Struthio camelus: one gene and its partner. The protein of the gene in region 2 interacts with the protein of the main gene of each other region in a pairwise test. Links are inferred from orthologs where the notes say so. Each region holds a gene or a part of one and is shown on either strand. Other genes may lie near its edges. The genes, in order: ENO3 and ALDOA.

Evidence for each region.
Region 1: the proteins of ALDOA (region 2) and ENO3 interact in a two-hybrid assay, tested with the Homo sapiens proteins (2 studies listed by BioGRID and IntAct, with this or other methods). The link is inferred for Struthio camelus from reciprocal best matches to the Homo sapiens genes ALDOA and ENO3.

Annotation. Positions count from the first base shown.
Region 1 is NW_027182728.1:83,668-98,237, forward strand, and holds ENO3 (beta-enolase), read right to left. Parts: upstream 7,957-14,570; 5' UTR 7,914-7,956; coding exon 7,856-7,913; exon of another isoform or gene 7,793-7,855; coding exon of another isoform or gene 7,774-7,792; intron 7,438-7,773; coding exon 7,348-7,437; intron 7,132-7,347; coding exon 7,036-7,131; intron 6,567-7,035; coding exon 6,508-6,566; intron 6,407-6,507; coding exon 6,337-6,406; intron 6,258-6,336; coding exon 6,124-6,257; intron 5,799-6,123; coding exon 5,576-5,798; intron 5,104-5,575; coding exon 4,906-5,103; intron 4,472-4,905; coding exon 4,270-4,471; intron 3,674-4,269; coding exon 3,565-3,673; intron 2,672-3,564; coding exon 2,613-2,671; intron 2,098-2,612; coding exon 2,028-2,097; 3' UTR 1,857-2,027; downstream 1-1,856. Other genes in the region: SPAG7 (sperm-associated antigen 7), read left to right, coding at 228-316, 456-540, 636-725, 1,132-1,288, 1,532-1,650; PFN1 (profilin-1), read left to right, coding at 11,987-12,118, 14,146-14,338. UniProt on the Homo sapiens protein: Glycolytic enzyme that catalyzes the conversion of 2-phosphoglycerate to phosphoenolpyruvate. Appears to have a function in striated muscle development and regeneration.
Region 2 is NC_090973.1:971,738-987,094, reverse strand, and holds the start of ALDOA (fructose-bisphosphate aldolase A), read right to left. Parts: upstream 7,757-15,357; 5' UTR 7,723-7,756; intron 7,115-7,722; exon of another isoform or gene 6,741-7,114; intron 4,231-6,740; 5' UTR 4,220-4,230; coding exon 4,108-4,219; intron 2,228-4,107; coding exon 2,016-2,227; intron 542-2,015; coding exon 487-541; intron 1-486. Other genes in the region: TLCD3B (ceramide synthase), read left to right, coding at 14,898-14,956. UniProt on the Homo sapiens protein: Catalyzes the reversible conversion of beta-D-fructose 1,6-bisphosphate (FBP) into two triose phosphate and plays a key role in glycolysis and gluconeogenesis. In addition, may also function as scaffolding protein.

The DNA of each region.
Region 1 (14,570 bases), on a different chromosome or scaffold from region 2:
CGGCCCGGACACCTGGGTCCCCCATGGCCCGGACACCTGGGTCCCCCCCAGCCCAAACACCTGGGTCCCTCCCGGCCCAGACGCCTGGGCCCCTCCCGGCCCGGACACCTGGGTCCCCCCGGACACTTGGGTCCCCCATGGCCTGGACGCCTGGGTCCCCCCCAGCCCAAACACCTGGGCCCCTCCCGGCCCGGACGCCTGGGCCCCTGACGCAGCGCCGCCCGCAGATGGAGCAGGAGGTGTCCGAGTTCATCCAGGCCAGCGGGGAGCCCCGGCGCCGCTTCCAGCCCATGAGCAAGATCGAGAGGAGCATCCTGTGAGGGGGCGCGGGGGGCGGCGCGGGGTGTGGGGGGCGGCGGGGGGGCTGCTCCCCCGGGGCAGGGCGGCTCCGCGGGGGTCGTCGTCCCCCCCCGGGGCGGTTTTGCCCCCCGGCGGCGGCTGACGCCCCCCCGCAGCCACGACGTGGTGGAGGTGGCCGGCCTGACGTCCTTCTCCTTCGGCGACGACGAGGAGAGCCGCTACGTCATGGTCTTCAAGAAGGTGGGTGCCGGCCCGGGGCGGGGGGGCCCAGGCGTCCGGGGGGGCCCAGGCGCCCGGGCCGCCAGGGACCCAGGCGTCCGGCCGCCCCCCCGCAGGAGTTCGCCCCCTCGGACGAGGAGCTCGAAGCCTATCGCCGGGGCGAGGAGTGGGACCCGCAGCGGGCCGAGGAGAAGAGGCGCCTCCGGGTAGGGGGCGGGGCCTGGGGAAGGAGGTGGGGCCAGAGGTGAGGGGCGGGGCTTGTTCTAGGGGAGCAGAGCCCATTGTGGAGCTGGTGGGGGCAAAACATGGGTGGGGCTTATGGCAGAGGCGGGGCTTACAGGCAGGGGTGTGGCTACAGCAGAGGGCCTGGGGGTGTGGCCTAAAGGGGCGGGGTCACAGGACAGGGAGAGCCTATCAGAAGCATTGCTGCTGGTGGGGGTGTGGCCTCAGTGGGCACAGAGGGCGGGGCTCCCCAGCTCAGGGGAGGGGCCTGCAAAGGGTGGGTGGGGCTTGGGGGACAGCATTCCCTGGGGCAGGGGCGGAGCTCCTGGAGGAGGGTGTGGTCCGGGGGCGGGGCCTGCAGGGGTGGGGCAGTGACGGCCCCGCCCCCAGGAGCTGGCAGCGCAGGAGGAGGAGGCGGAGCTCCGCCGGGGCCCCGCCCCCGTGAGCCCCCTCAGCGACTACAAGGACAAGTACCGGCACCTGATCGGCACCGCCGCCGCCAAGGCCGCCGCCCGCACCATGGAGGCCAACAAGGCCTACGGCTGCGGTGAGTCCTGCCCCCGGACGCCTGGGCCCCCCGGGACCCCCCTCCCCGGACGCCTGGGACCCCCTGGGGTGCCCAGGTCTCTTCCAAGGCTCCCGGACGCCTGGGAGCCTTCCAGGGAGACCCTCGGACACCTGGGCCCTCTTGAGGGATGGAGGAAGCCCGGACGCTTGGGTCCCCTGGGGGGGGGCCCGGACGCCTGGGCCCCCTCTCACCCGTCATGTCCCCCCCCCCCCCCCCCCCCAGTGCCTGTGGCCAACAAGCGGGACACGCGCTCCATCGAGGAGGCCATGAACGAGATCCGGGCCAAGAAGCGGCTGCGGCAGGCGGAGGACGAGGGCGGCGCCGGGGGCGCCTCGGCGTAGGGGGGGCCCAGGAGTCCGGGGGGTGGGGGGGGACGGGGGCAGCGCGGGGCGACGGGGCTCCCGCTCGCGCACATAAACTGCCTCTGCTTTAACTCGTCTCCCTGTGTCTGCTCGGGGGGCCCAGGAGTCCTGGTGACATCGGAGGGGGGAGGGGGCCCAGGAGTCCTGGCCGTGTCCCCCGCCCCCAATAACGAGTCGGGGCCCGTCGTGCTCCAGGTCATTTATTGAGCGGGTTTGGGGACGTCGGGGGGACGTCGTGGCCGTGCCGGGGGGGACGCGGCGGCTCCTGCTCCGGGGGGACGCGGCGGCTCCGACCTCGGTCCTGGGGGGACGCGGTGGCGCCGGGGGGGGACGCGGTGGCCCCGGTCACCCCCCTCCTACTTGGCTCGGGGATTCCTGAACTTGCGCCCGGCGAAGGTGGCCTTGTCACCCAGCGCCTCCTCGATCCTGGGGACAGCAATGAGCGGCGGACGGGGACGGTGACAGTCCCAGCGGGGTGACATGGGGACAAGGATGGTCCCAGGGGGATGGAGATGGTGCCAGAGGGGACGTGGGGATGGGGATGGCCCCAGTGGGGGACAGAGATGGTTTTGGGGGTGACGTGGGGACAAGGACGGTCCTGGTGGGGTGATGGGACGAGGATGGACCTGGGGGACGGGGACATTCCTGGGGTGACGAGGGGATGGGGACGGTCCCAGGGGATGGAGATGGTCCCGGGGTGAGATGGGGACAAGGACAGCTCTAGTGGGGTGACGTGGGGACGAGGACGGACCTGGGGGGACGAGGACGGACCTGGGGGACGGGGACGTTCCCAGAAGGGACGTGGGGAGGGGGACGGTGCCCAAGGGGGACACGGGAGGACAGGGGTGGGGACTGGTCTGGGGGACACGTGGGGCACGGGGGGAAGGAGACAGGACACCGCTGGGGACACAAGGGGACACGCGGGGGCTGCGGGCACCCACCTCATGAGCTGGTTGTACTTGGCCAGGCGCTCGGAGCGGCACGGGGCGCCCGTCTTGATCTGGGGGGACATGGGGACACGGGGGGGACGGGGACGGGGACATGGGATGGGGACCATGAGGACAAGGAGCATCCGGGGGACACAGGGACAGGGAGGAGGGGACATGGGGGGGACAGGGACCGTGGGGACAGGGAGCATCTGGGGGGACGGGGGACATGGGACATGGAGGATATGGGGAGACATGGAGGGACATGGGGGGACATGGGGGACATGGGGATGTGGGGAGACATGGGGGACATGAGGGGACATGGGGGACATGAGGGGACATGGGGATGTGGGGAGACACGGGGGACATGGGGGACATGAGGGGACATGGACATGGGGAGACGGGGGACTTGGAGGATATGGGGGGACATGGGGGACATGAGGGGACATGGGGGGACATGGGGGGACATGGGGGGACATGAGGGACATGGAGGATATGGGGAGACATGGGGGACATGAGGGGACATGGGGGGACATGAGGGGACATGGACATGGGGAGACGGGGGACTTGGAGGATATGGGGGGACATGGGGACATAGAGGGACATGGGGGATATGAGGGGACCTGGGGGGACATGGGGGGACATGAGGGGACATGGGGGGACATGGAGGGACATGAGGGGACATGGGGGGACATGGGGGGACATGGGGGACATGGGGGACATGGGGAGACATGGGGGATATGAGGGGACATGGGGGGACATGGGGGGACATGGAGGGACATGGGGGGACATGGGGATGGGGACAAGGGACACGAGGGGGGTGGGGACCATGGGGATAGGGGGACATGAGGGGGGATGGGGGTGATGGGGACACGGGGATGGGGAGACCCCGGGGGGACGTGGGGAGGGACGGGGACACGGGGGGACGGGGACGGGCTGGGGGGACACGAGGGGGAGCAGCGCTGACCTGCCCGGTGCAGAGCCCCACGACCAGGTCGGCGATGAAGGTGTCCTCGGTCTCGCCCGAGCGGTGGCTCACCATGACGCCCCAGCCGTGGCTCTGCGCCAGCTTGCACCTGCCGCGCACGAGGGGCTCGCACCAGGGTTTGCACGAGGGGATGCGCGAGGGACTCATGGGGGTCGCACCAGGGCTTGCACGAGGGTTTGCACGAGGGGATGCGCGAGGGACTCACGGGGGTCGCACCAGGGCTCGCACGAGGGTTTGCACGAGGGGATGCGCGAGGGACTCACGGGGGTCGCACCAGGGCTCGCACGAGGGGATGCGCGAGGGACTCACGGGGGTCGCACCAGGGCTCGCACGAGGGTTTGCACGAGGGGATGCGCGAGGGACTCACGGGGGTCGCACCAGGGCTCGCACGAGGGGATGCGCGAGGGACTCACGGGGGTCGCACCAGGGCTCGCACGAGGGTTTGCACGAGGGGATGCGCGAGGGACTCACGGGGGTCGCACCAGGGCTCGCACGAGGGTTTGCACGAGGGGATGCGCGAGGGACTCACGGGGCTCGCACCAGGGCTCGCACGAGGTGTCGTGCACGGGTCACATGAGGGCTCGCGCGGGAGCCTGCCCGAGGGCCGTGCACAAGGGGTCGCACGGCGGGGGGTCGCACGAGGGCTCGCACAAGGACCGTGCAACGCGGGGCGCGTCCACTCACGCCTGGATGGACTCGGTGACGGAGCCGATCTGGTTGACCTTGAGCAGGAGGCAGTTGCAGGCGTGCAGCTCGGCCGCCCGCTGGATGCGCTTGGGGTTGGTCACCGTCAGGTCGTCGCCCACCACCTGGATGTTCACCTGGGCCAGGAAGCGCTGCCAGCCCTCCCAGTCGTCCTGGTCGAAGGGGTCCTCGATGGACACCACTGCGGGGCCCCGCTCAGCTGCCGCTGCCGCCGGCCCCCAGCGCCCCCAGCCCTCCCCTTCCCTGAGCCCCGCGCAGCCCTACGCGAGACACCAGAGAATCCACCACCTCCCTTCCCGTCCCAGCGCCCCCAGGCCCCTCCTGTCCATCCCAGTGCTCCCAGCCCTCAGTGGGAGTCCGCTTCCCCCTACCCGCCCCAGGCACAACCCCGTACGAGACACCCGAGAAGCCACCGTTTCCCTTCCTAGCCCTGTTCCCCCCATTCCTCCCAATCTTCCCCAGTCCCCCCCGTCCCCTCAGTCCCTCCAGACCCTCCCCAGCCCTGGGGGAGAGGCCACCCCGCCCCGCAACCCCAGGCACAACCCCGTACGAGACACCCGAGAAGCCACCGTTTCCCTTCCCGTGCCAGTTCCCCCGGCCCGCGGTCGCCCGCACCGGGGTAGTCCTTGATGAAGCTCTGGTAGAGCTGCCCCAGCTGCTCCCCGGAGATGAGGCGCCCGGGGTCGGGCGGCGACTTGAAGTCGAGGTCGTAGCGGCCGTCGCGGCAGAACTCGGAGGCCGCCACGTCCATGCCGATCACCACCTTGTCCGGGTACCCGGCCTGCGCGATGGCCGCCTTCAGCAGCTCCAGCGCTGCGGGCGGGCGTCAGCCACCGCTGCCCGGTGCTCGCCAGCCCCCGCGCGCCCCGGCCGGGACCCCGCCGTGCACCAGGGACCCAGGCGGCCGGGCGGCCGACCCCCCCCCAACCCTTCCCCGAAGGACCCAGGCGTCCGGGCACCCCGGGCCTCCCCCGCCCGTCGGCACCCCGGCTCGTGGGCTCCCCTGGCCGGGCGGGCCCAGGCGTCCGGGTGCCCCTCCCCACCCGGGAGGACCCAGGCGGCCGGGGCCTCCTGCCCTTTGCTGACCCCCCTGGCGCCCTCGTAGCCTTTCTCCAGTTACGGCCGCAGGGGCTAATTATGGCCGCAACATTTAACGAGGGGGCTGGAAACCCAACCCGGGGGGCTATAAGTAGCTCCACCGTCTCCCGACCCGGAGAGGACCCAGGTGTCCGGGGCCGGGTGGCAGGGGAGGACCAGGAGGGGCCCAGGTGTCCGGGGCCGGTACCTTCGTTGTTCTCCAGGATGTTGGGGGCGAAGCCGCCCTCGTCGCCCACGTTGGTGGCGTCCTTGCCGTACTTGCCCTTGATGACACCCTTGAGGCTGTGGTAGACCTCGGCGCCGATGCGCATGGCCTCCCGGAAGGACGCCGCCCCCACCGGCAGGATCATGAACTCCTGCATGGCCAGCTTGTTCCCCGCGTGCGAGCCGCCGTTGATCACGTTGAAGGCCTGCGCCGAGGGTCCCAGGTGTCCAGGAAGCTCTTCTCCTCCCTCCATGAAGATCCCCCCCCAAAAGACCCAACCGAGTCCTCCAAAACCCAACCCCGATCCCCCCCCCAAGACCCAACAGCTCCTCCAAGACCCAACGATGTCCCCAAGACCCGTCAGACCCTCCAAGACCCAATAAATCCCCCAAGACCCAACTGGGTCCTCCAAAACCCAATGACCCCCCCCCCCAAGGTCTCAATGGAGATCCCAACACCCAGGGATCCTCCCAAAGCCTCCCCACTACCGCCCCCCACCGCAGAAGGACCCAGGCATCCGGGGCCCTCACCGGCACAGGCAGGATGAGGTCAGCGTTGCCGGCCAGGTCGGCGATGTGCCGGTAGAGCGGGACGCCCTTCTCGGCCGCCCCGGCCTTGCAGACGGCCAGCGACACCCCCAGGATGGCGTTGGCCCCAAACTTGGCTGCCAAAGAAGGGGAAGGGGGGGGGTGAGCGGGGAGGGGGCCCAGGCGTCCGGGACAGGACAGGGGACCTGGGCTCACATTTGTTCTCGGTGCCGTCCAGCTCGATCATGAGCTTGTCGATCTTCTCCTGCTCCACCACGCTGATTTTCTGGGGTGGGAAAGGGGGGGGACAGTGTGAGCCAGGGGGTGGGGGGGATCTGGACTCCCCACCCTGGCCCCCACCCTGACCCCCACTCAGGCCACACTGACCTTCTCCACCAAGGCGGGTCCGATGGTCTTGTTGATGTGCTCCACTGCCTTCAGCACACCTGGGGGCACGGCGGGGGTTAGGGGGTGCGAGCCCCCACCCTGGGGTCCTCGTCACCCCACCCATGGGGGCAAATGGAGAGGGAGATGGGGGGCAGAGGGGAGCAGGGAGGGCAGGGATTCAGGGGGTCTTTGGAGGTCATTGGGTCTTGGGGGGATCCAGCTGGGTTTTGAGGGATCCAGTTGGGTCTTGGGGAGGTCGTTGGGTTTTGGGGCACCCAGAGGGGTCTTGGGGGGGATCGTTAGGTCTTGGGAGGCTCAGTGGGGTCTTGGGGGATCTAGTTGGGTCTTGGGGGACCCAGTTGGGTTTTGAGGGATCCGGCTGGGTTTTGAGGAGTTTGTCGGGCTTTGGGGGACTCATTTGGGTCTTGGAGGACCCGGCTGGGTCTTGGGGGGGATCGTTGGGTTTTGGGGGTCTCGGTTGGGTCTTGGGGGGGTTGCTGGGTCTTGGGGGGCCCTGTGGGGTCTCACCTTTGCCCAGGTAGCGGCTCTTGTCGCCATCGCGGAGCTCCAGGGCCTCGTGGATCCCCGTGGAGGCGCCGCTGGGGACGGCAGCGCGGAAGTGGCCTGGGGGGCTGGAGTGAGCCGGGGGGGGCCACAACCCCCCATGGGCCCCCTATGTCCCCCCCACATGCCCCCAGGCCCTCCCACATTCCCCCATGTCCCCCCAGGACCTCCTATGTCCCCCCATGTCCCACCAGCTACCTGCGTCCCACCCCCCCGTCCCCCCATGTCCCCCATGTCCCCCACCTCTGCCCGTGTCCCCCCGGCCCCGGCGCCCACCCTTGGCCGTGTGCAGGTCGACCTCCACCGTGGGGTTCCCGCGGGAGTCGAGGATCTCCCGCGCGTGGATCTTCTGGATGGACATGGCTGCTGGGGGGGGGTGGGGGCAGGCGTCAGGGCCAGGGGGACCCAGGCGTCCGGGCGCCCCCCGCAGCCACGCCGCCCCCCGCCACACCAGGGGGCCCAGGCGTCCGAGCGCCAGCTTTCCCTGCCCTTCTCCCCCCCACCGGGGGCCCAGGTGTCCGGGTGGCCCCGCTCTGCACTATAGACCCCACTGCCCTCAGGGCACCCAGGCGTCCGGGGGGGGCCCAGGCGTCCGGGTGGCCCCGCTCTGCACTATAGACCCCACTGCCCTCAGGGCACCCAGGCGTCCGGGGGGGGCCCAGGCGTCCGGGTGGCCCCGCTCTGCACTATAGACCCCGCTACCCCCAGGGGTCCCAGGCATCCGGGGGGTCCCAGGCGTCCGGGCACCCCACAGGGACCCAGGCGTCCGGGCGCTGCTGCTCACTGGTGCTGGTTGGGCTCCGAGTGACCCCGGGGGGTCCCCGAGGGCCTTTTATGCCCATCCCCTGCCCCCGCCTCCCCCAGGGACCATCTGCAAACGCGGGACCCAGGCGTCCAGGGCCCAGGCGTCCGGGTGGGCTCGCCCCTGCCCCACCCGCCAGGCCTGACTGCCCCCCCGGGGGCCCAGGCGTCCGGGGACCCCCGCTCTGCCCCGCTGCCCCCCCCAGGGGGTTCAGGTGTCCGGGGGGGCCCAGCTGCCCCCCTCCCCCACCAGGCTTCGCAGCCCCCAGGGGGCCCAGGCGTCCGGGCGCTGGTGGCCCTGGTGGCACTTTGCGATGGTCCCTGCCCCCCCCGGGCTATTTTTAGCCCCCCCCAAAGGTCGGAGCTCGAGGAAAGGACACGGTAACTCGAGACGCCCGGACGCCTGGGCCCCCGTGGGCTGGGAGCAGCCAGATGCCTGGGTCCCCCCGAGGCTGCCCGGACGCCTGGGTCCCTGGAGGATGTGGGGGGGGGAGCACCCGGATGCCTGGGTCCCCCTTGGGCTGGGGGCACCCGGACACCTGGGTCCCCCCGGGACTGGGGGTACCCGGACGCCTGGGTCCCCTGGAGTTGAGGCTGCCCGGACGCCTGGGTCCCTGGGCGACTCCTGGGCCCCACCGCACGGGGGCGCCCGGACACCTGGGTCCCTGGAGGATGGGGGGGGGGGAGCACCCGGACGCCTGGGTCCCTGGAGGATGGGGGGGGGGGGAGCCCCCGGACGCCTGGGTCCCTGGGGGGGGGAGGGGGACGCCTGGCGGCTGTGCTGGGAATGGCACCGGTCCTATGGGATCCATAGGGGATGGGGGGAGGGGAGGGGCCCTGCGGGGTCTATAGGGGCCGGGGCCCTATAGGGGAAACGGGAGGGGGGAGATGGGCCCCGTGGGGCCTATAGGGGACGTTGGGGGGGGGTCGGGCCCTATGGAGCCCATAGGGCAGGGGGAGGGGGAGGGGCCCCGGCTCCGCTCGCTGCTAAAAACCCACTTCCCGGGGAAGTTCCCACAGCGGGGCGGGGGCGGGGCGGGCCCGGACGCCTGGGCCCCGGGGGGGGCAGGGCCCCTGGACGCCTGGGCCCCCGGACGCCTGGGCCCCGGGGGGGGCCCCGGATGTCTGGGCCCCGGGGGGGGGCAGAGGGGCCCCCGGACGCCTGGGTCCCTCGGCCAGGACGAGCTGGTTTCCTGCCCCCCCCCCATTTCCCATGATGCCCCGGGTTGGCGTGAGCGGGGGAGGGGCCGCGGTGGCGACACTGCTGGGGGAAGTTCGCAGCGGGGGGGAGGGGCAGGCGCCCGGCTGCCTCCGACCCCCTGGTCCCCCGGACGCCTGGGTCCCCAGGCAGGCGCGGGGTCCAGGGCCCGCTGCCCGGACGCCTGGGTCCCCCGGACGCCGCCTGCCCCCAGCGCCGGCGCCTCGGCCCCCTCCCCCGCCCGGGACAGGAAGTGAAACCGCCGCCCCTCCCCCCCTCCCCCCCCCGGAAAGTCCCCGCCCGGGGCTGACTCAAAGCAGCCGGGAGATATGGGCCGATGCATGTGCGATCGCACACGCGTGTGCACGGGGCGGGGAGCGCGGCGGGGGGGCATCGCACGGGGGGGGGCGTTGCACCAGGAGTTGGTTTGCTCTGGGGTTGCGCTGTGCTGGGGGGCTCATGGCGCGAGGGGTGGGTTGCACCAGGGGTTGCAGTGCACGAGGGGTGCGTTGCACCGGGAGTTGGGTGCGTTGCACCAGGGGTTGCAGTGCACGAGGGGTGCGTTGCACCGGGAGTTGGGTGCGTTGCACCAGGGGTTGCATTGCACGAGGGGTGCGTTGCACCGGGAGTTGGGTGCGTTGCACCAGGGGTTGCATTGCACGAGGGGTGCGTTGCACCGGGAGTTGGGTGTGTTGCACCAGGGGTTGCAGTGCACGAGGGGTGCGTTGCACCGGGAATTGGGTGCGTTGCACCAGGGGTTGCATTGCACGAGGGGTGTGTTGCACCGGGAGTTGGGTGCGTTGCACCAGGGGTTGCAGTGCACGAGGGGTGCGTTGCACCGGGAATTGGGTGCGTTGCACCAGGGGTTGCAGTGCACGAGGGGTGCGTTGCACCGGGAGTTGGGTGCGTTGCACCAGGGGTTGCAGTGCACGAGGGGTGCGTTGCACCGGGAGTTGGGTGCGTTGCACCAGGGGTTGCACTGCACGAGGGGTGCGTTGCACCGGGAGTTGGGTGCGTTGCACCAGGGGTTGCACTGCACGAGGGGTGCGTTGCACCGGGAGTTGGGTGCGTTGCACCAGGGGTTGCATTGCACGAGGGGTGCGTTGCACCGGGAGTTGGGTGCGTTGCACCAGGGGTTGCAGTGCACGAGGGGTGTGTTGCACCGGGAGTTGGGTGCATTGCACCAGGGGTTGCAGTGCACGAGGGGTGCGTTGCACCGGGAGTTGGGTGCGTTGCACCAGGGGTTGCAGTGCACGAGGGGTGCGTTGCACCGGGAGTTGGGTGCGTTGCACCAGGGGTTGCATTGCACTGGGGCTGCACCACACGGGGGGCTGCATTGCACCGGGGGGGTGTCGCACAGGGGCCGAGGCGCCGCACGGCCTGTGCGTTGCTCCATGCTGGCACGAGGACACGCATGTCCGGGGGGCTGCGTGTGACACGGACACGGGGGTCCCGGCGCAGGGAGCTGGGGAGGGGGCCGCGAAGAGGTGCAACGCGCCACCGAGGGCGACGCCGGGGGGGCCGTGGCGGCAGGAAACGTGGGGTGTCACCCGCAGGGAGGGGCCGTGCAAAGGGGGGTGCGGAGGCCGGGGAGGGGTGCAAGGGGGGGGGCGACGTGCAGGGGCGTGCAAGGCGCGGTGATGCCCGCGGGTTGCACGGCACGAGGAGGGTGCAACGCACCCGGCTGCAAGGCCGGGGGGTGCGATGCACCCGCGGGTGCACACAGCACAAGGGTGCCGCACCCGGAGGGGCTGCTGGGGGGGGGGGGGGCGTGCGCACGTGTGCGTGCAACGCTCGAGGGGGGCGGGGGGGCGGGAGGGAGCTGCAGTGCCCAGATGTTGCGTGTGCGACGCCGGAGGGATGCAGTGCACGGGGATGCACTGACTGGTTTGCATGTGCAATCCCCGGGGGGGGGTGGGGGGTGCACATCTGTGCGTGCGTGTGCGCTTGTGTGTGCGTGTGCGTGTGTGCGCGTGTGTGTGTGCGCGTGTGTGTGTGCGCGTGTGTGTGCGCGTGTGTGTGTGTGCGTGTGTGTGTGTGCGTGTGTGTGTGTGTGTGCGCAGTGTCTGCACACGTGTGTGCACGTGCACGGTGCCCCGGGGATGCAACACAGGTGGATGCAACACCCGGGCTGTGCGTGTGCAGTGCACATGGATGCAATGCTGGGGGGGGCAGCGCTAGCAGGTGCAGTGCTGGGTGTGCAGTGCCCGGGGGGGGGGTGCAGCACCCGCTGTGCAGTGCCTGCGGTGCAGTGCCCATTATGCAGTGCCGGGGGGGGGGTGCAGTGTCGGGGGGGGGCAGTGTCTGAGGTGCAGCACCCGTCATACAGCGCCCCTTGTGCAGTGCCCGGGGGGGGGGGGGTGCAGTGCCCGGGGGGGGGGGTTGCAGTGCTGGGGGGGTGGGTGCAGTGCTGGGGGGGGGGGGTGTGCAGTGCCCGGGGGGGGGGGGGCAGCGCCGGGGGGGGGGGGAGTGCAGTGCCCGGGGGGGGGGGGAGTGCAGTGCCCCGGGGGGGGTTGCAGTGCGGGGGGGGGGGGGTTTGCAGTGCCGGGGGGGTTGCAGTGCCCGGGGGGGGCAGTGCTGGGGGGGGGGCAGCGCCTGTCGCCCAGCGCCCGCCGCTGCCCGGGGTCGCTCTGCCGCCGCCGCCGCCGCCGCCGCCGGGCGGGCTGGGGGGGGCGTGTCCCGCGGCGGCCCCGCCCCCTGCGGGCGAGCCCCGCCCCCTGCGGGCGAGCCCCGCCCCGCGGAAGCCCCGCCCCCGCCGCGCGGGGCTATGAAAGGCGGCGCGCGGCCCCGCCGCGGGGCCCCGTCTCGCGCCCGCCGCCCGCTCCGCGCACGCGCCGCCGCCGCCGCCGCCGGCCCCGCCCCCGCCGGCCCCGCCCCGCCCGCCCGGCCCGCGCCGCCGCCGCCGCCGCCGCCGCCATGAGCGGGTGGGCGCCCTACGTGGAGAGCCTCATGGCGGACGGCACCTGCCAGGACGCCGCCATCGTCGGCTACAAGGACACGCCGGCCGTCTGGGCCGCCACCCCCGGCAAGACCTTCGCCAACATCACGGTGGGGCCCGGGCGGCGGCGCCGCGGGGGGGCGGCGGCCGTTGGGGGCGATTCCGCGGCGGTCCCGGGGCGCGGGGTGTCCCCGGGCCCCCCCGCCGGCCCAGGCGTCCGGCCCCCCCCCCCGCCCGCCCGCGCCGCGGCCCCCCCGGGCCGGGGGTCGGGCCCGGCCCCTCCCCCCGCCGGCAGGAAGTGACCGGGGGGAGGGGGGGCCGGATCCTGCCCATCCCCCCCATCCCATCCCCTTCCCCCCCCCGGCCCCAATCGGGACAAAAAAGGGAGAAAAATGCGTCCGGGAGCGGCCCCGGCCGCTGCCAGCGTGGCCCGGCCCCCCCCGCCGCCGGGGAGGGGACCCAGGCGGCCGGGCCGCGCGGGGGGGCCCAGGCGCCCGGGCCGCCCCCCTTCCCCGCTCCAGCGGGGGGCCCGGGCGCCCTTTACCCCCTCCCCTTCCCCAGCCACCCCCGGTTTGGGGAAGGAGCCCCGGCGTCCGGGCTGCGGCGAGCACGTGGCGGAGGGGCTGCGGGGGGGCCCGGACGCCTGGGCCCTCTGCCCGCCCGCCGAGGGGTCGCCGGTGTCTCCCCCCTCCCCCCGCTGAGAAAAATGCGCGGAATGTGGCAACTTCCCCCCGGCGGGGGAGGGGCGGCCGGGGCTTCCTGTGGGGGAGGGGAGGGGGCGCCTGGGCCCCCCGGGGCGGCGGGCAGAGGGGTGCCCGGGCGCCTGGGCCCCTGGCGGAGGCTGAGGGAGCTCCCGGACGCCTGGGCCCCCGGCAGGGCGTTGGGTGGGGTCCGGGACGCCTGGGCCGGCGCGGCTGGGGATGCCCCGGACGCCTGGGTCCTGCCTGTGGAGGGTGCCGGGGCGGGCGCCCGGACGCCTGGGTCCCTGGAGGAGCTGGTGCTGGTCTGGGCTCTTGGGCGCCCCGGACGCCTGGGTCCCCGGGGGGGTGTCAGGGCGGCTCACGGTGCTGCCCCGGACGCCTGGGTCCCGAGGAGGGGTGTCAGGGCGGCTCACGGTGCTGCCCCGGACGCCTGGGTCCCGAGGAGGGGTGTCAGGGCGGGCTCACGGTGCTGCCCCGGACGCCTGGGTCCCCGGGGGGGTGTCAGGGCGGCTCACGGTGCTGCCCCGGACGCCTGGGTCCCGAGGAGGGGTGTCAGGGCGGGCTCACGGTGCTGCCCCGGACGCCTGGGTCCCGAGGAGGGGTGTCAGGGTGGCTCACGGTGCTGCCCCGGACGCCTGGGTCCCCGGGGGGGTGTCAGGGCGGGCTCACGGTGCTGCCCCGGACACCTGGGTCCCGAGGAGGGGTGTCAGGGCGGGCTCATGGTGCTGCCCCGGACGCCTGGGTCCCCAGAGGGGTGTCAGGGCAGGCTCACGGTGCTGCCCCGGACGCCTGGGTCCCGAGGAGGGGTGTCAGGGCGGGCTCACGGTGCTGCCCCGGACGCCTGGGTCCCCGGGGGGGTGTCAGGGCGGCTCACGGTGCTGCCCCGGACGCCTGGGTCCCGAGGAGGGGTGTCAGGGCGGGCTCACGGTGCTGCCCCGGACGCCTGGGTCCTGAGGAGGGGTGTCAGGGTGGCTCACGGTGCTGCCCCGGACGCCTGGGTCCCCGGGGGGGTGTCAGGGCGGCTCACGGTGCTGCCCCGGACGCCTGGGTCCCGAGGAGGGGTGTCAGGGTGGCTCACGGTGCTGCCCCGGACGCCTGGGTCCCGAGGAGGGGTGTCAGGGCAGGCTCATGGTGCTGCCCCGGACGCCTGGGTCCCAAGGAGGGGTGTCAGGGCGGCTCACGGTGCTGCCCCGGACGCCTGGGTCCCCGGGGGGGTGTCAGGGCGGGCTCATGGTGCTGCCCCGGACGCCTGGGTCCCCAGAGGGGTGTCAGGGCGGGCTCACGGTGCTGCCCCGGACGCCTGGGTCCCCGGGGGGGTGTCAGGGCGGCTCACGGTGCTGCCCCGGACGCCTGGGTCCCCGGGGGGGTGTCAGGGCGGGCCACGCCCCCCCGCCCGGACACCTGGGTCCCTGACGGCGGGGGTCGTGGCCCGGCAGGCGGCGGAGGTGAACGCGCTGGTGGGGAAGGACCGGAGCAGCCTGCTGGTGAACGGGCTGACGCTGGGCGGGCAGAAGTGCTCCGTCATCCGCGACTCGCTGCTGGTGGAGGGCGAGCACAGCATGGACCTGCGCACCAAGAGCGCCGCCGGCGCCCCCACCTTCAACATCACCGCCACCGTCACCAACAAGAGTGAGTGTCCGCCCGGGCCCCTCGCGTCCCCCCCGTGTGCGCTCTGCGCCCGCCCCGGGCACCTGGGCCCCTCGTGTCACCCCCACGTCCCCCCTGTGTGCGCTCTGCGCCCGCCCCGGGCACCTGGGCCCCTCGTGCCACCCCCACGTCCCCCCTGTGTGCGCTCTGCGCCCACCCTGGACACCTGGGCCCCTCACGCCAACCCCGTGTCCGCTCTGCACCCGCCCCGGGC
Region 2 (15,357 bases):
CGGGGACACAGATGGCCTTGGGGACAGCGTTGGAGAGACAGAGATGACATAGGGAACACGGGGACAGCCTTGGGAAGGTGGAGAAGGCAGAGAGGACTTGGGGACAGCTTCGGGGACACGGGGACAGCCTTGGGGACACGCAGACACAGCCAGGGACACTGGGATGCCGATGAGGACACAGGAACAATGTTGGGCACCGCTTGGGGACACAGGGACCCCCTTGGGGACACCCTTGGGGACCTGGGGACACCGAAATACCCTAGAGAACCTCTTGGGGACACGAGGACCCCTTTGGGGACACAGGGAAGCCCTCAGGGACGCCCTTGGGGACCTGGGGACGCCCTTGGGGACCCGAGAAGCCCTTGAGGACATCTTTGGGGACTTCCTAAGGACCTAGGAATACCCTTGGGGACATGGGGACACCCTCGGGGCCACCCTTGGAGACCTTGCAGGGACATGAGGCCACCCTCGGGGACGGTCACTCACCCTGGGTGGTGGTCTCGCCATTGGTGCCAGCCAGGGGCACAACCCCCTTGTCCACCTGGGGGGGGGGGGGACGCGGGGACACGGTCACTGGGAGCTGGCCTGGCTCCATGGCCACCCCGTCCCCACGTCCCCCACATCCCCCCAACGTCCCTGTCTCCCCCAACGTCCCCTCGATGTCCCCACTCTGAGACTACGTTCCCCCACCATCCCCGTGTCCCTCAACGTCCCCAATGTCCCCTTGTGCCCCATCGTCCCTACGTCCCCTTCATGTCTCCACGTCCCCCGACGTCCCCTCAACGTCTCCTTGTCTCCCAACATCCCCACGTCCCCTCCACATCTCTACGTCCCCCAGTGTCCCCTCCACGTCCCCCCCCCAACGTCTCCACGTCGCATCCACGTCTCCGTGTCCCCCAACGTCCTCTAATCGGCTCTGCATCTCCCCGACGTCCTTGCGTCCCCTTTGTGTCCCCGTGTCCAACATCCGCACATCCTGTCACCTCCATGTCCCCCAACGTCCCCTCGACGTCTCCGCATCTCCCCAACGTCCTTGCATCCCATCAACATCACCGTCCCCCAACGCTCCCTCAACGGCTCCACGTCCCCCCAACGTCCCTGCGTCCCCTCAACCTCTGTGTCCACCAACGTCCGCCAACGCTCCCTCAACATCTCCACGCCTCCCCAACGTCCCTGCGTCCCCTCAACCTCTCTGTGCCCACCACCATGCCCCAACGTTCCCTCAACGTCTCCACGCCTCCCCAATGTTCCCTCAACATCTCTGCGTCCACCACCGTCCCCCAACGGCTCCACGTCTCCCCAACGTCCTTACGTCCCCCTCAACCTCTCCGTGTCCACCACTGTCCCCTAACGTTCCTTCAACATCTCCACGCCTCCCTAATATCCCTGCGTCCCCTCAACATCTCTGCATCCACCACCGTCCCCCAACGTTCCCTCAACGGCTCCGTGTCTCCCCAACGTCCCTGCGTCCCCTCAACACCTGTGTGTCCACCACCGTCCCCCAACGCTCCCTCAACATCTCCACACCTCCCCAATGTCCATGCGTCCCCTCAACTTCTGTGCCCACCACCGTGCCCCAACGTTCCCTCAACGTCTCCACGCCTCCCCAATGTCCCCTCAACATCTCTGCGTCCACCACCGTCCCCCAACGTTCCCTCAACGGCTCCACATCTCCCCAACGTCCCTGCGTCCCCTCAACCTCTCTGCGTCCACCACCGTGCCCCAACGTTCCCTCAACATCTCCACATCTCCCCAACGTCCCTGCGTCCCCTCAACGTCTCTGCGCCCACCACCGTGCCCCAACGTTCCCTCAACATCTCCACGCCTCCCCAACGCCCCTGCGTCCCCTCAACCTCTCTGCGCCCACCACCGTGCCCCAACGTTCCCTCAACATCTCCACGCCTCCCCAACGTCCCTGCATCCCCTCAACATCTCTGTGTCCACCACCGTCCCTCAACGTTCCCTCAACTTCCCCCCATCTCCCCAACGCCTCCGCCTCCCCCCGACGTCCCCACCTTGATGCCGACGAGGCCGCCCTTGGCGCGGATGACGGCGGGGAAGGGGCGCCCGTCGTCGGCCTTCTGGTAGAGGGTCTCGTGGAAGAGGATGACGCCGCCGATGCAGGGGTCGACGCGCTGGTCGGCCGTGAAGAGCAGCTGGCGGTACCAGCGGCGGTTCTCCTCCGTGTTCTCCGCCCCCACCGAGCTCAGCCGCTTGGCGATGCTGCCTGCGCCGGGGCCGCCCGCGTCACCCGCCGGGGCCGCCCGCGGCACCCACGCCACCCCAGGCGGCTGGGCTTTGCGGGGCTCCCGGTGCTCCCAAGGCCTCCCGGTCTCACCTGGGGCCACCTGGTGGCCACCTGGGGCCACCTAGAAACCCCCAGTAGCACCCTGGGGTCACCCAGCGTCACCTGCAGTCACCCATGGGCACCCTGGTGGCACCCACGCTCCCGTTGCACCAGGGTTGCCAGGGGTTGTGGGGCTCCCAGCGCTCTCAGGGCCTCCCGGTCTCACCTGGGGCCATCTGGTGGCCACCTGCGGCCACCTAGAAACCCCCAGTGGCACCTGGGCTCTCCCACTGTCGCCTGCAGTCACCCATGGGCACCCTGGTGGCACCCACGCTCCTGTTGCACCAGGGTTGCCAGGGGTTGTGGGGCTCCCAGGGCCTCCTGATTTCACCTGGGGCCACCCTGTAACCCCCAGTGGCACCCTGGGGTCACCCAGCGTCACCTGCAGTCACCCATGGGCACCCTGGTGGCACCCACGCTCCCGTTGCACCAGGGTTGCCAGGGGTTGTGGGGCTCCCAGCGCTCTCAGGGCCTCCCGGTCTCACCTGGGGCCACCTGGTGGCCACCTGCGGCCACCTAGAAACCCCCAGTGGCACCTGGGCTCTCCCACTGTCGCCTGTAGTCACCCATGGGCACCCTGGTGGCACCCACGCTCCTGTTGCACCAGGGTTGCCAGGGGTTGTGGGGCTCCCAGGGCCTCCTGATTTCACCTGGGGCCACCCTGTAACCCCCAGTGGCACCCTGGGGTCACCCAGCGTCACCTGCAGTCACCCATGGGCACCCTGGTGGCACCCACGCTCCCGTTGCACCAGGGTTGCCAGGGGTTGTGGGGCTCCCAGTGCTCCCAGGGCCTCCCAGTCTCACCTGGGGTCACCCTGTAACCCCCAGTGGCACCCTGGGGTCACCCAGCGTCACCTGCGGTCACCCATGGGCACCCTGGTGGCACCCACGCTCCCGTTGCACCAGGGATGCCAGGGGTTGTGGGGCTCCCAGTGCTCCCAGACTCACCTGGGGCCACCTGGGCTCCTCCTGGTCTCACCTGGGGTCACCCAGTGCCCTCCCAGCGTCACCCAGTGCCTCCTAATGCTTTTGTAGTTCTCCCCAGTAACCTCCTAGTCTTCCACCAGCAACTTCCAGTCCCACCCAGTGCCCCCAATCCCCTCCCAAGACCTCCCAGTCCTCCCCAGTATCACCTAATGTCACCCCATTCCCTCCCAGCATCACCCACTGCCTCCCGATCCCTCCCAGTGCCCCGATCTCCTCCCAGTGCTCCCAGTCCCTCCCCCAGTGTCACCCACTGCCTCCCGATCCCCTCCCAATGCCCCAACTCCTCTCCCAGTGTCACCTAGTGCCCCCCAATCCCTTTCCAGTGTCACCCAGTGCCCCTCAATTCACTCCCACAGCCTCCCTGCTCTTTTCCCAGTGCTCCCCAGTGCCCCTGATCTCACCCTAGTGCCCCCCAGTGCCACCTGAGAGCCCCCAGTCCCCTCCCAGTGCCTCCCAGTCCCCTCCCAGCACCACCTAGTGCCCCCTAATCTTCTCCCAGTGCTCCCTAGTGCCCCTGATCTCACCCTAGTGCCCCCCAGTGCCACCTGAGAGCCCCCAGTCCCCTCCCAGCACCTCCCAGTCCCCTCCCAGCACCACCTAGTGCCCCCCAATCTTCTCCCAGTGCTCCCCAGTGCCCCTGATCTCACCCTAGTGCCCCCCAGTGCCACCTGGGAACCCCCCAGTCCCCTCCCAGTGCCTCCCAGCGCCACCTGGTGCCCCCCAATCCCCTCCCAGTGCCCCCCGCTCCCCTCCCAGTGCTCCCAGCGCCGCACCGGTGGACTCATCGGCGGCGAGGATGCCCTTGCCGGGGGCGACGATGCGCAGGGCGATGTCGGCGAGCTCCTTCTTCTGCTCGGGCGTCAGCGCCGGGTACTGGTGCGGCATGGTGGCGGCGGCTGCGGGGAAAGGGGGGGGGGGCTCAGCGGGGACCCCGGCGTCCGGGCACGGGGCCCAGGCGTCCGGGGAATCACACCCCGCATCACCCCACGGGCCCAGGCGTCCGGGGAAACGCCCCACACTCCCCTGCCCATGGGGTCCGGGGAGGGGTTAAAGGGACCCAGGCGTCCGGGTTAGGGGGGGGAAGGGAAGAGGGACCCAGGCGTCCGGGTTGGGGGGGGAAGGGGAGAGGGACCCAGGCGTCCGGGTTTGGGGGGGGGGAGAGGGACCCAGGCGTCCGGGTTTGGGGGGGGAAGGGGAGAGGGACCCAGGCGTCCGGGTTTGGGGGGGGAAGGGGAGAGGGACCCAGGCGTCCGGGTTTGGGGGGGGAAGGGGAGAGGGACCCAGGCGTCCGGGTTTGGGGGGGGAAGGGGAGAGGGACCCAGGCGTCCGGGTTTGGGGGGGGGCGGGGAGAGGGACCCAGGCGTCCGGGTTTGGGGGGGGGCGGGGAGAGGGACCCAGGCGTCCGGGTTTGGGGGGGGGCGGGGAGAGGGACCCAGGCGTCCGGGTTTGGGGGGGGGCGGGGAGAGGGACCCAGGCGTCCGGGTTGGGGGGGAAGGGGAGAGGGACCCAGGCGTCCGGGTTGGGGGGGGAAGGGGAGAGGGACCCAGGCGTCCGGGTTGGGGGGGGAAGGGGAGAGGGACCCAGGCGTCCGGGTTGGGGGGGAAGGGGAGAGGGACCCAGGCGTCCGGGTTTGGGGGGGGGCGGGGAGAGGGACCCAGGCGTCCGGGTTTGGGGGGGGGCGGGGAGAGGGACCCAGGCGTCCGGGTTGGGGGGGGAAGGGGAGAGGGACCCAGGCGTCCGGGTTGGGGGGGAAGGGGAGAGGGACCCAGGCGTCCGGGTTGGGGGGGGAAGGGGAGAGGGACCCAGGCGTCCGGGTTGGGGGGGGAAGGGGAGAGGGACCCAGGCGTCCGGGTTGGGGGGGAAGGGGAGAGGGACCCAGGCGTCCGGGTTTGGGGGGGAAGGGGAGAGGGACCCAGGCGTCCGGGTTTGGGGGGGGGAAGGGGAGAGGGACCCAGGCGTCCGGGTTTGGGGGGGGGGGGGGAAGAGGGACCCAGGCGTCCGGGTTTGGGGGGGGGGGGGGAAGAGGGACCCAGGCGTCCGGGTTTGGGGGGGGGGGGGAAGAGGGACCCAGGCGTCCGGGTTTGGGGGGGGGGGGGAAGAGGGACCCAGGCGTCCGGGTTTGGGGGGGGGGGGAAGAGGGACCCAGGCGTCTGGGTTTGGGGGGGGGGAAGGGGAGAGGGACCCAGGCGTCCAGGTTGGGGGGGAAGGGGAGAGGGACCCAGGCGTCCGGGTTTGGGGGGGCGGGGAGAGGGACCCAGGCGTCCGGGTTGGGGGGGGGGGGAGAGGGACCCAGGCGTCCGGGTTGGGGGGGGGGGGGGAGAGGGACCCAGGCGTCCGGGTTGGGGGGGGGGGGGAGAGGGACCCAGGCGTCCGGGTTGGGGGGGGAAGGGGAGAGGGACCCAGGCGTCCGGGTTGGGGGGGGAAGGGGAGAGGGACCCAGGCGTCCGGGTTGGGGGGGGAAGGGGAGAGGGACCCAGGCGTCCGGGTTTGGGGGGGGGGGGGGGAAGAGGGACCCAGGCGTCTGGGTTTGGGGGGGGGGGGAAAGAGGGACCCAGGCGTCCGGGTTGGGGGGGGGGGGAAAGAGGGACCCAGGCGTCTGGGGTTGGGGGGGGGGGGAAAGAGGGACCCAGGCGTCTGGGGTTGGGGGGGGGGGAAGAGGGACCCAGGCGTCCGGGGTTGGGGGGGGGGGGAAGAGGGACCCAGGCGTCCGGGGTTGGGGGGGGGGGGAAGAGGGACCCAGGCGTCTGGGGTTGGGGGGGAAGAGGGACCCAGGCGTCCGGGTTTGGGGGGGGGGGGGGAAGAGGGACCCAGGCGTCCGGGTTTGGGGGGGGGGGGGAAGAGGGACCCAGGCGTCCGGGTTTGGGGGGGGGGGGGAAGAGGGACCCAGGCGTCCGGGTTTGGGGGGGGGGGGGGGAAGAGCGACCCAGGCGTCCGGGTTTGGGGGGGGGGGAAGAGGGACCCAGGCGTCCGGGTTTGGGGGGGGGGGAAGAGGGACCCAGGCGCCCGGATTTGGGGGGGGGGGGGGTAGACGGACCCAGGCGCCCGGATTTGGGGGGGAAGGGGAGAGGGACCCAGGCGTCCGGGTTTGGGGGGGGCGGGGAGAGGGACCCAGGCGTCCGGGTTTGGGGGGGGGGGAGAGGGACCCAGGCGTCCGGGGTTGGGGGGGGGGGGGAAGAGGGACCCAGGCGTCCGGGTTTGGGGGGGGGGGGGGAAGAGGGACCCAGGCGTCTGGGGTTGGGGGGGGGGGGAAGAGGGACCCAGGCGTCCGGGTTTGGGGGGGGGGGGGAAGAGGGACCCAGGCGTCCGGGTTTGGGGGGGGGGGGAAGAGGGACCCAGGTGTCCGGGTTTGGGGGGGGGGGAAGAGGGACCCAGGCGCCCGGATTTGGGGGGGGGGGGGTAGACGGACCCAGGCGTCCGGGCGGCAGCGGCTGCGAAGGGGAAATGGGACCCAGGCGTCCGGGTTGGGGAAGTCACCGCGGGCGGGGAGGGGACCCAGGCGTCCGGGTAGGGCTCTGGGTGCAGTCAGGGGCGGGACCCAGGCGTCCGAGTTGGGGGGGGGGAATTGGGGGGGGGGAAGGGACCAAGGTGTCCCAGGCATCCGGGTTGGGGGGGGGGAATTTGGGGGGAGGGGAGGGACCCAGGCGTCCGGGACGGAGCCCCAAGGGCGTCTCAAGGGCAGCAGGAAGGGCCCAGGCGTCCGGGCAGGGCCCCCCTTCCTCCTCCCCCTGCATGAGGCAGAGCGGGGCCTCCCTCAATCTGCTCCCCACAGCCCCAAAATCTGCCTTTCCAGCCCCAAAACCTGCTCTTCCCCCCCTAAATCTGCCCCCCCACCCCAAAATCTGCCATGCTAGCCCCAAAAATCTGCTCCTGCACCCCAAAATCTACCCCCACAGCCCCAAAAATCTGCTCCTTCATCCCAAAATGTGCCCCCACAGCCCCAAAATCTGCTCCCCCACCCCAAAAATCTGCTCCTCCACCCCAAAATCTCTTTCCAGCCCCAAAATCTGCCCCCACAGTCCCCTATTTGCCCCCCAGCCCCCTAAAGCTACCTTTTCAGCCCCAAATCTGCCCCCAGCCCCCAAATCTGCCCTCAAGTCTTCCCCCAAGCCCAAAATCTACATTTTCTGCCCCAAAACCCACCCACCTCCCCCAATCTCCACACTTTTAGCCCCAAAACCCGCCCCCAGCCCCCAATCTCCACACGTTTAGCCCCAAAATCCACCCCCCAGCCCCCAATCTCCACACGTTTAGCCCCAAAACCCGCCCCCAGCCCCCAATCTCCACACGTTTGGCCCCAAAACCCACCCCCTCCCCCAATCTCCACACGTTTGGCCCCAAAACCCGACTTTTTCGCCCCAAAACCTGCCGCCCCCCCCCCCGGGCCCCACCTGGTCTCGCGCCGAGGCTGCGGCGCGCGCGTGCGGTGCGGGGGGGGGGCTGTGACGTCAGAGGAAGCGGCGGGAGGGGCGAGGGGGGCGCTTAAAGGGGCCGCGCCGCCGAGCGCTGAGTCACCGCGCGGGGGGGGGGGACGGGGGGGATTGGGGTCCCGGGGGGGAATTGGGGGGGGTCCCGGGGGTTATTTGGGGGTTTAGGGGGGTCCTAGGTGGGTATTTGGGGTCCTGGGGGGGATTTGGGGGTCCCAGGGGTTATTTGGGGGGGTTTAAGGGGGGTCCTAGGTGGGTATTTGGGGTCCTGGGGGGGATTTGGGGGCCCCAGGGGTTATTTGGGGGTTTAGGGGGGTCCTAGGTGGGTATTTGGGGTCCTGGGGGGGATTTGGGGGTCTCGGGGGTTATTTGGGGGGAGTCTGGGGGTAATAGGGGGTCCTGGGTGGGTATTTGGGGGTCCCAGGGGTTATTTGGGAGGTCTGGGGGGCATTTGGGGTCCTCGGTGGGTATTTGGGGGGTCCTGGGGGTTATTTGGGGGGGTCTAAGGGGGTATTTGGGGTCCTGGATGGGTATTTGGGGTCCTGGGGGGGATTTGGGGGTCCTGGGGTTATTTGGGGGGGGTCTAGGGGTGTATTTGGGGTCCTGGGGGGGAATTTGGGGGGTCTAGGGGGGTTATTTGGGGATATTTGGGGTCCTGGGTGGGTATTTGGGGGGGTCCTGGGGGTTATTTGGGGGGGGTCTACAGGAGCGTATGGGGTCCTGGGTGAGTATTTGGGGTCCTGGGTGGGTATTTGGGGGGTCACAGGGGGTTATTTGAGGGGGTCTAGGGGAGTATATGGGGTCCTGGGTGGTAGTTGGCATTCCAGAGGGGAATTTGGGGGTCTCAGGGGATATTTGGGGGGGTCAGGGAGGGTATTTGGGGTGCTGAGGGAGTATTTGGGGGGTCTAGGAGGACATATAGGGTCCTGGGTGGGTATTTAGGGGGTCCCACGGAGTATTTGCGGGGGGTCTAGGGGGGTATATGTGATCCTGGGTGGGCATTTGGGGGAGCCCTGGAGGGTATTTGGGGTGCCGGGGGGGGTGTCAGGGGGGTATTTGGGGTGCCAGGGGGGTATAGGACTGCCCAGGGGGGTGTCGGGGGGGGTATTTGGGGGTGCTGAGAGAGGTGCCGGGGGGGCATTTGGGGTGCCAGGGGGGGTATAGGGCTGCCGGGGGGGGTGCCAGGGGGGCATTTGGGGTGCCAGGGGGGTATTTGGGGTGTTGAGGGGGATATGGGGGTGCCAGGGGGGGTATTTAGGGTGCTGGGGGGGTATAGAGCTGCCCAGGGGGGTGTCAGGGGGGTATTTGGGGTGTCAGGGGGGTATTTGGGGTGTTGAGGGGGATATGGGGGTGCCGGGGGGGTATTTAGGGTGCTGGGGGGGGTTATAGAGCTGCCCAGGGGGGTGTCAGGGGGGTATTTGGGGTGTCAGGGGGGTTATTTAGGGCACGGGGGGGTATCCCCCCCACCCCAGGGGGCCGCAGGGACCCCCCGACTCACCGTGGGGCAGCGCCGGGTCCCGCTGCCCCCCGGCCCCCCAGCGCCGCCCCTTATCTAGGGCCTCCCCCCCCCCCGGCGACCTTTCCGCCGACCCCTGGCCTTTTCGGGGGCTAAAAATAGCCCCCCCCGCCCCCGCCGGCCCCTGGCCTGGGCGCCGGGGAGGGGCCTGGCCCCCCCCAAACTGCCGGCAGGCTCCGGGTAACCGTGGAAACGGGCCAGGCCGCGAGGGCCTGGTTTTGAGGGGGGGGGGAGGCGGTCGCCGTGGCGACCTGGGGGGGGTAGGTGCACGGTGGTGGTTGCCATGGCAACCAGGTAGGTGGGGGGAGCCCTCCCCAATGTGTGTGGCGATGGTGGGGGGGGGTAGGTCCCGGTTTCCATGGCAACGGGGGTAGGCCTCAGACCACTGTGACAGTCGCCACGGCGACAGGGTAGTGCCCCCCCAGCAGACTGACAGTTTCCATGGCAACCAGGAAGGTTGTGGTTTCCATGGTGATGGCAGTAGGACACCCCCCCAACCACTGTAACAGTCGCCATGGTGACAGGGTAGAACCCCCCCCCCGAGCTGACTGACAATCTCCATGGCGACAGGACAGCTCCTCCCCCCCCTGGGCTGACAGTCTCCATGGCAACCGAATAGGCCTCAGTTTCCATGGCAATGGGAGGGGCTATTTCCCACAGTCACGTGGGAGAAGAGCTGCATCTCCCTCATTAATAATTTATGACATGTCCTCATCAATATTCATGAGCCCTGCACCCACCCTTCCGCATGAAGGGCTGTTGTATGCAAATCACCCTGTCCGGGAGCCCCGCCCACCCCGCCACTCAGCAAGGCCCCGCCTTCCTCATAAATATTCATGTAGTCGCGGTGCCCTTCATGAATACTAATGACCCTCTGACGCGCATGCGCGGTTGCTGCGGCAACACCTCCCCCCCCCCACCCGGCGCGCGCTCCAGCGAGGCGGTGCTGAGGTAGCCACCCGGAAGCGGGAGGCGGTGCGGGTGCCATGGAAACGCCGCCTCGCGCCTTCCTATTGGCCGGGGGTGGAGAGGGGCGTTGCCCACAGAGTGGGGACACTCCCGGCGGGGCCAATCAGCGAGGCGCGCGGCGCGGTGGCGCCTTCGCCTCAGGCGCTGGCCCCGGCGCCAATCGGAGCCGCCCTTTCAGCGCGGCGCGCCGAGACTCTGCCTGGCAACGCGCCGCGTCCCGCCGCCTCCCATTGGCTGCCGGCCGCGGCCAATAGGGAGGGGCGCTGGCGGGTGGCGGGCGGCGCATGCGCCGAGCGCCACCCGGCTCGGCGGCGGCCGTTGCTCGGACAACGCGCGGCGCCCTCGAGGGGGAGGGGCGCGCACAAATGTAGGCAAATGTACACAAATGTATGCAAATGTTTGCAAATTTATGCAAATATGTGCAAATACGTCTAGGTGCGATGGCGTGCTGGCTGCATGCACGCAGAGGGTCTGGCTCAGCTCCTCCCCCCAACCTGCCCCCTCCCAGTGGGGAGGGGCCTACAAGTGATATGCAAATATATGCAAATGAGGGTTTCCCGTGGGGAGGGGCGGGGGCGGGGCCTGGGAACGCTGTTGGGGGGGAGTGGCAGGACGCCCGGGTCCCTTCTCCTTGCCATTTTGGAAGGGGGGAGTGGGAAGCAGGGCACCCCCCCTCCTTTCCCTTTAGCCCCGCCCCACATCCCTCCCCCTGGAGGCCCCGCCCCTCAACACTTTCCCCCAAGGCCCGCCCCCACTTCGCTCCTCCCACCGTAGCCCCACCCCCACATCCCTCCCAGTGGGGCTAGCTCCCCCCCCCCACCAGAATGGTGCCCCCTCCCTGGGCTGCCCTCACGCCCCGCCCCCTTTAGGCCCCGCCCCCTTTAGGCCCCGCCCCCAGGGTCACCCCCAAGGCAGGGCCGGGCCGGGCCAGGTAGCCCCCCGCCCCCTTAGGCCCCACCCCCTGTGACCCCGCCCCATGGCCCCGCCGCCAGCATCACTCCCGGCAGGGCCAGGCAGGTCCCTGCATCCCCCTGTGACTCCGCCCCCCTCAGGCCCCGCCCCCATTCAGACCCCCCCCAGCATTGCTTCCGGCAGGGCGGAGCCGGGCCGGGCAGGTCCCTGTGCCCCCCTTCAGACCCCGCCCCCTTCAGACCCCGCCCCCCTCAGGCCCCGCCCCCAGCGTCGCTCCCGGCGGGCCGGGCCGGGCCGGGCAGGTCCCTGTGCCCCCCCTCAGGCCCCGCCCCCCTCAGGCCCCGCCCCCAGCATCGCTCCCGGCGGGGTCGGCGGGCCGGGCAGGTCCCTGTGCCCCCCCCTCAGGCCCCACCCCCCTCAGGCCCCGCCCCCACCATCGCTCCCGGCGGGGCCGGCGGGCCGGGCAGGTCCCTGTGCCCCCCCCCTCAGGCCCCGCCCCCTCAGGCCCCGCCCCCCTCAGGCCCCGCCCCCAGCGTCGCTCCCGGCGGGGCCGGCGGGCCGGGCAGGTCCCTGTGCCCCCCTCAGACCCCGCCCCCTCAGACCCCGCCCCCCTCAGGCCCCGCCCCCAGCGTCGCTCCCGGCGGGGCCGGCGGGCCGGGCAGGTCCCTGTGCCCCCCCTCAGACCCCGCCCCCTTCAGACCCCGCCCCCCTCAGGCCCCGCCCCCAGCGTCGCTCCCGGCGGGGCCGGCGGGCCGGGCCGAGCCGGGCAGGTCCCTGTGCCCCCCTCAGACCCCACCCCCCTCAGACCCCGCCCCCCTCAGGCCCCGCCCCCCTCAGGCCCCGCCCCCACCATCGCTCCCGGCGGGGCCGGCGGGCCGGGCAGGTCCCTGTGCCCCTCCTCAGACCCCGCCCCCTCAGACCCCGCCCCCCTCAGGCCCCGCCCCCAGCGTCGCTCCCGGCGGGGCCGGCGGGCCGGGCCGGGCCGGGCAGGTCCCTGTGCCCCCCTCAGACCCCGCCCCCTCAAGCCCCGCCCCCCTCAGGCCCCGCCCCCAGCGTCGCTCCCGGCGGGGCCGGCGGGCCGGGCCGGGCCGGGCAGGTCCCTGTGCCCCCCCTCAGACCCCGCCCCCTCAAGCCCCGCCCCCCTCAGGCCCCGCCCCCAGCGTCGCTCCCGGCGGGGCCGGCGGGCCGGGCAGGTCCCTGTGCCCCCCTCAGACCCCGCCCCCTCTGTTGCCCCGCCCCCCTCAGGCCCCGCCCCCAGCGTCGCTCCCGGCGGGGCCGGCGGGCCGGGCCGGGCCGGGCAGGTCCCTGTGCCCCCCCCCGCCCCCCGCCCCCCCCCGCTCATGGCGGCCCCCCCGGGTGCCCTGCTGGCCGGCGGCTTCGTCTTCTTCCCCGGGCTCTTCCTGGCGGCCCGGGCCGGGCTGCGGCGGCTGCCGGGGCTGCGCTGGCCCGAGCCCGACGCCGTCATCGTCGCCGCCCGGTACCGGGGTGGGGGGGGGGCGAGGAGGGGACGGGGGGGCACTGAGGGGAGGGGGGGAGGGGGACACTGAGGGGATGGGGGAGGGGGACACTGAGGGGACACTGAGGGGACACTGAGGGGAGGGGGGAGGGGGACACTGAGGGGACACTGAGGGGATGGGGGGAGGGGGAGGGGGACACTGAGGGGACACTGAGGGGATGGGGGGAGGGGGAGGGGGACACTGAGGGGACACTGAGGGGACGGGGGAGGGGATGGGGACACTGAGGGGACACTGAGGGGGGGAGGGGATGGGGACACTGAGGGGACACTGAGGGGATGGGGGAGGGGGACACTGAGGGGATGGGGGGACACTGAGGGGACGGGGGAGGGGATGGGGACACTGAGGGGACACTGAGGGGAGGGGGGAGGGGATGGGGGACACTGAGGGGACACTGAGGGGAGGGGGGAGGGGGACACTGAGGGGACACTGAGGGGGGGAGGGGATGGGGACACTGAGGGGACACTGAGGGGAGGGGGGAGGGGATGGGGACACTGAGGGGACAACGGGGGGAGGGGGGGACTGAGGGGACGGGGGAGGGGATGGGGGGACTGAGGGGACACTGAGGGGACACTGAGGGGACGGGGGAGGGGGACACTGAGGGGACAACGGGGCGATTGGGTCACTGAGGGGACGAGGACAGTGTGGGGACACTGGGGGGGGATGGGGACAGTGTGGGGATGGGGGAGGGGATGGGGACACTGAGGGGACACTGAGGGGGGATGGGGACACTGAGGGGACAACGGGGCGATTGGGACACTGAGGGGGCGATTGGGACACTGAGGGGACGGGGACAGTGTGGGGACACTGGGGGGGGATGGGAACAGTGTGGGGATGGGGGAGGGGATGGGGACACTGAGGGGACACTGAGGGGACACTGAGGGGACACTGATGGGACGGGGGAGGGGGACACTGAGGGGACACTGCGGGGAGGGGAGGGGGGACGGGGACAGTGTGGGGACACTGAGGGCATGGGGGGGACGCTGAGGGGACAACAGGGGGATGGGGACACTGAGAGGACACTGAGGGGACAGGGACGGTGTGGGGACCCTGAGGGGACGGGGTGGGGATGGGGGAAGGGATGGGGACACTGGGGGGACGGGGAGGGGATGGGAGATGAGGACAGTGTGGGGACACTGAGGGGACAACGGGGGGGTGGAGGGATGGGGACACGGGCGGACACTGAGGGGACACTGAGGGGGCAACAGGGTGATGGGGACAATGTGAGGACATTGAGGGGACACTGAGGGGACGGGGAGGGCGGGGAGGGGATGGGGACAGTGAGGGGAGACTGAGGGGATGGGGACAGTGTGGGGACACTGAGGGGACAGGGGGGACAATGAGGGCAGGGGGAGAGGGTGGGGACACTGAGGGGACACTGAGGAGACGGGGACGGTGTGGGGACACTGAGGAGATGGGGAGGGGACACAGGGGACACTGAGGGGGTGGGGGGACACTGAGGGCAGGGACACTGAGGGGACAGGGACAACAGTGGGATGGGGAGGGGATGGGGACAAGGAGAGGACACTGGGGGGACAGTGAGGGGACGGGGACAACAAGGGGACACTGAGGGGACGGGGACAGGGACACACACGGCATGGGGACAACAAGGGGACAAGGAGGGGACAGAAACAACAAGGGGACGGGGACAGCGTGGGGACAACAAGGGGACAGGGACAGGGGCACCGTGGGGACGGAGACAACGAGAGGACAATGAGGGGATGGGGATGGGGACAATGAGGGGTTGGGGACACTATGGGGACGGGGACGTCGTGGGGACGGTGACGGGACAGCGACCGGGATGGGGACACTGGGGAGGGGGACGGTGTGGGGACAATGAGGGGACGGGGACAGGGCTGGGGACACTGTGGGGACGGGGACAATGAGGGAACAAGGACAATGAGGGGACAGTGACAGGGATGGGGACACGGGGGAATGGGGACAGCGAGGGGACAGGGACAGGGATGGCATGGGGACAACATGGAGACAGCCGGGGACATTGTGGAGACAACGTGGGGACGGGGACACCGCGAGGACCGTGGGGACAGGGATGGCAGCAGCTTGGGGACAGGGCTGGGGACAAGTGGCAGCGGGGGGTGGCCGCAGGGGTGGCTGCCACCCGCTCAGGGCCCCGTCCCCTCATGTCCCCAACGTCCCCGTCCCTCGATGTCCCTTGACGTCCCCGTGTCCCCCCCCCCCCCAGGCTGGTGTCCTCGGTGCAGGCCATCATGGCCACCACGGCCGGATACATCATCTCCAGCTCCTGCCACCATGTCATCGATGACCAGTGAGTACGGCCTGGCCTGGGCACCCGTGGGTGCCATCATGACCCATGGGTGCCACCACGACCCGTGGGTGTCACCATGGCCCATAGGTGCCACTGTGACTCATAGGTGCCACCACAACCCGTGGGTGTCACCATAGCCTGTGGGTGCCACCATGCCCCGTGGGTGGCATCATGACCAACGGGTGCCACCGTGGCCCATGGATGCCACCACAAGCCATGGGTGCCACCATGACGCATGGATGTCACCTCGAACTGTGGGTGCCACCATGGCCCATGGGTGCCACCGTGACCCATAGGTGCCACCCCAAACTGTGGGTATCGCCATGGCCCATGGGTGCCACCGTGACCCATGGGGATCACCACAACTCGTGGGTGCCACCATGACCCATAGGTGCCACCAT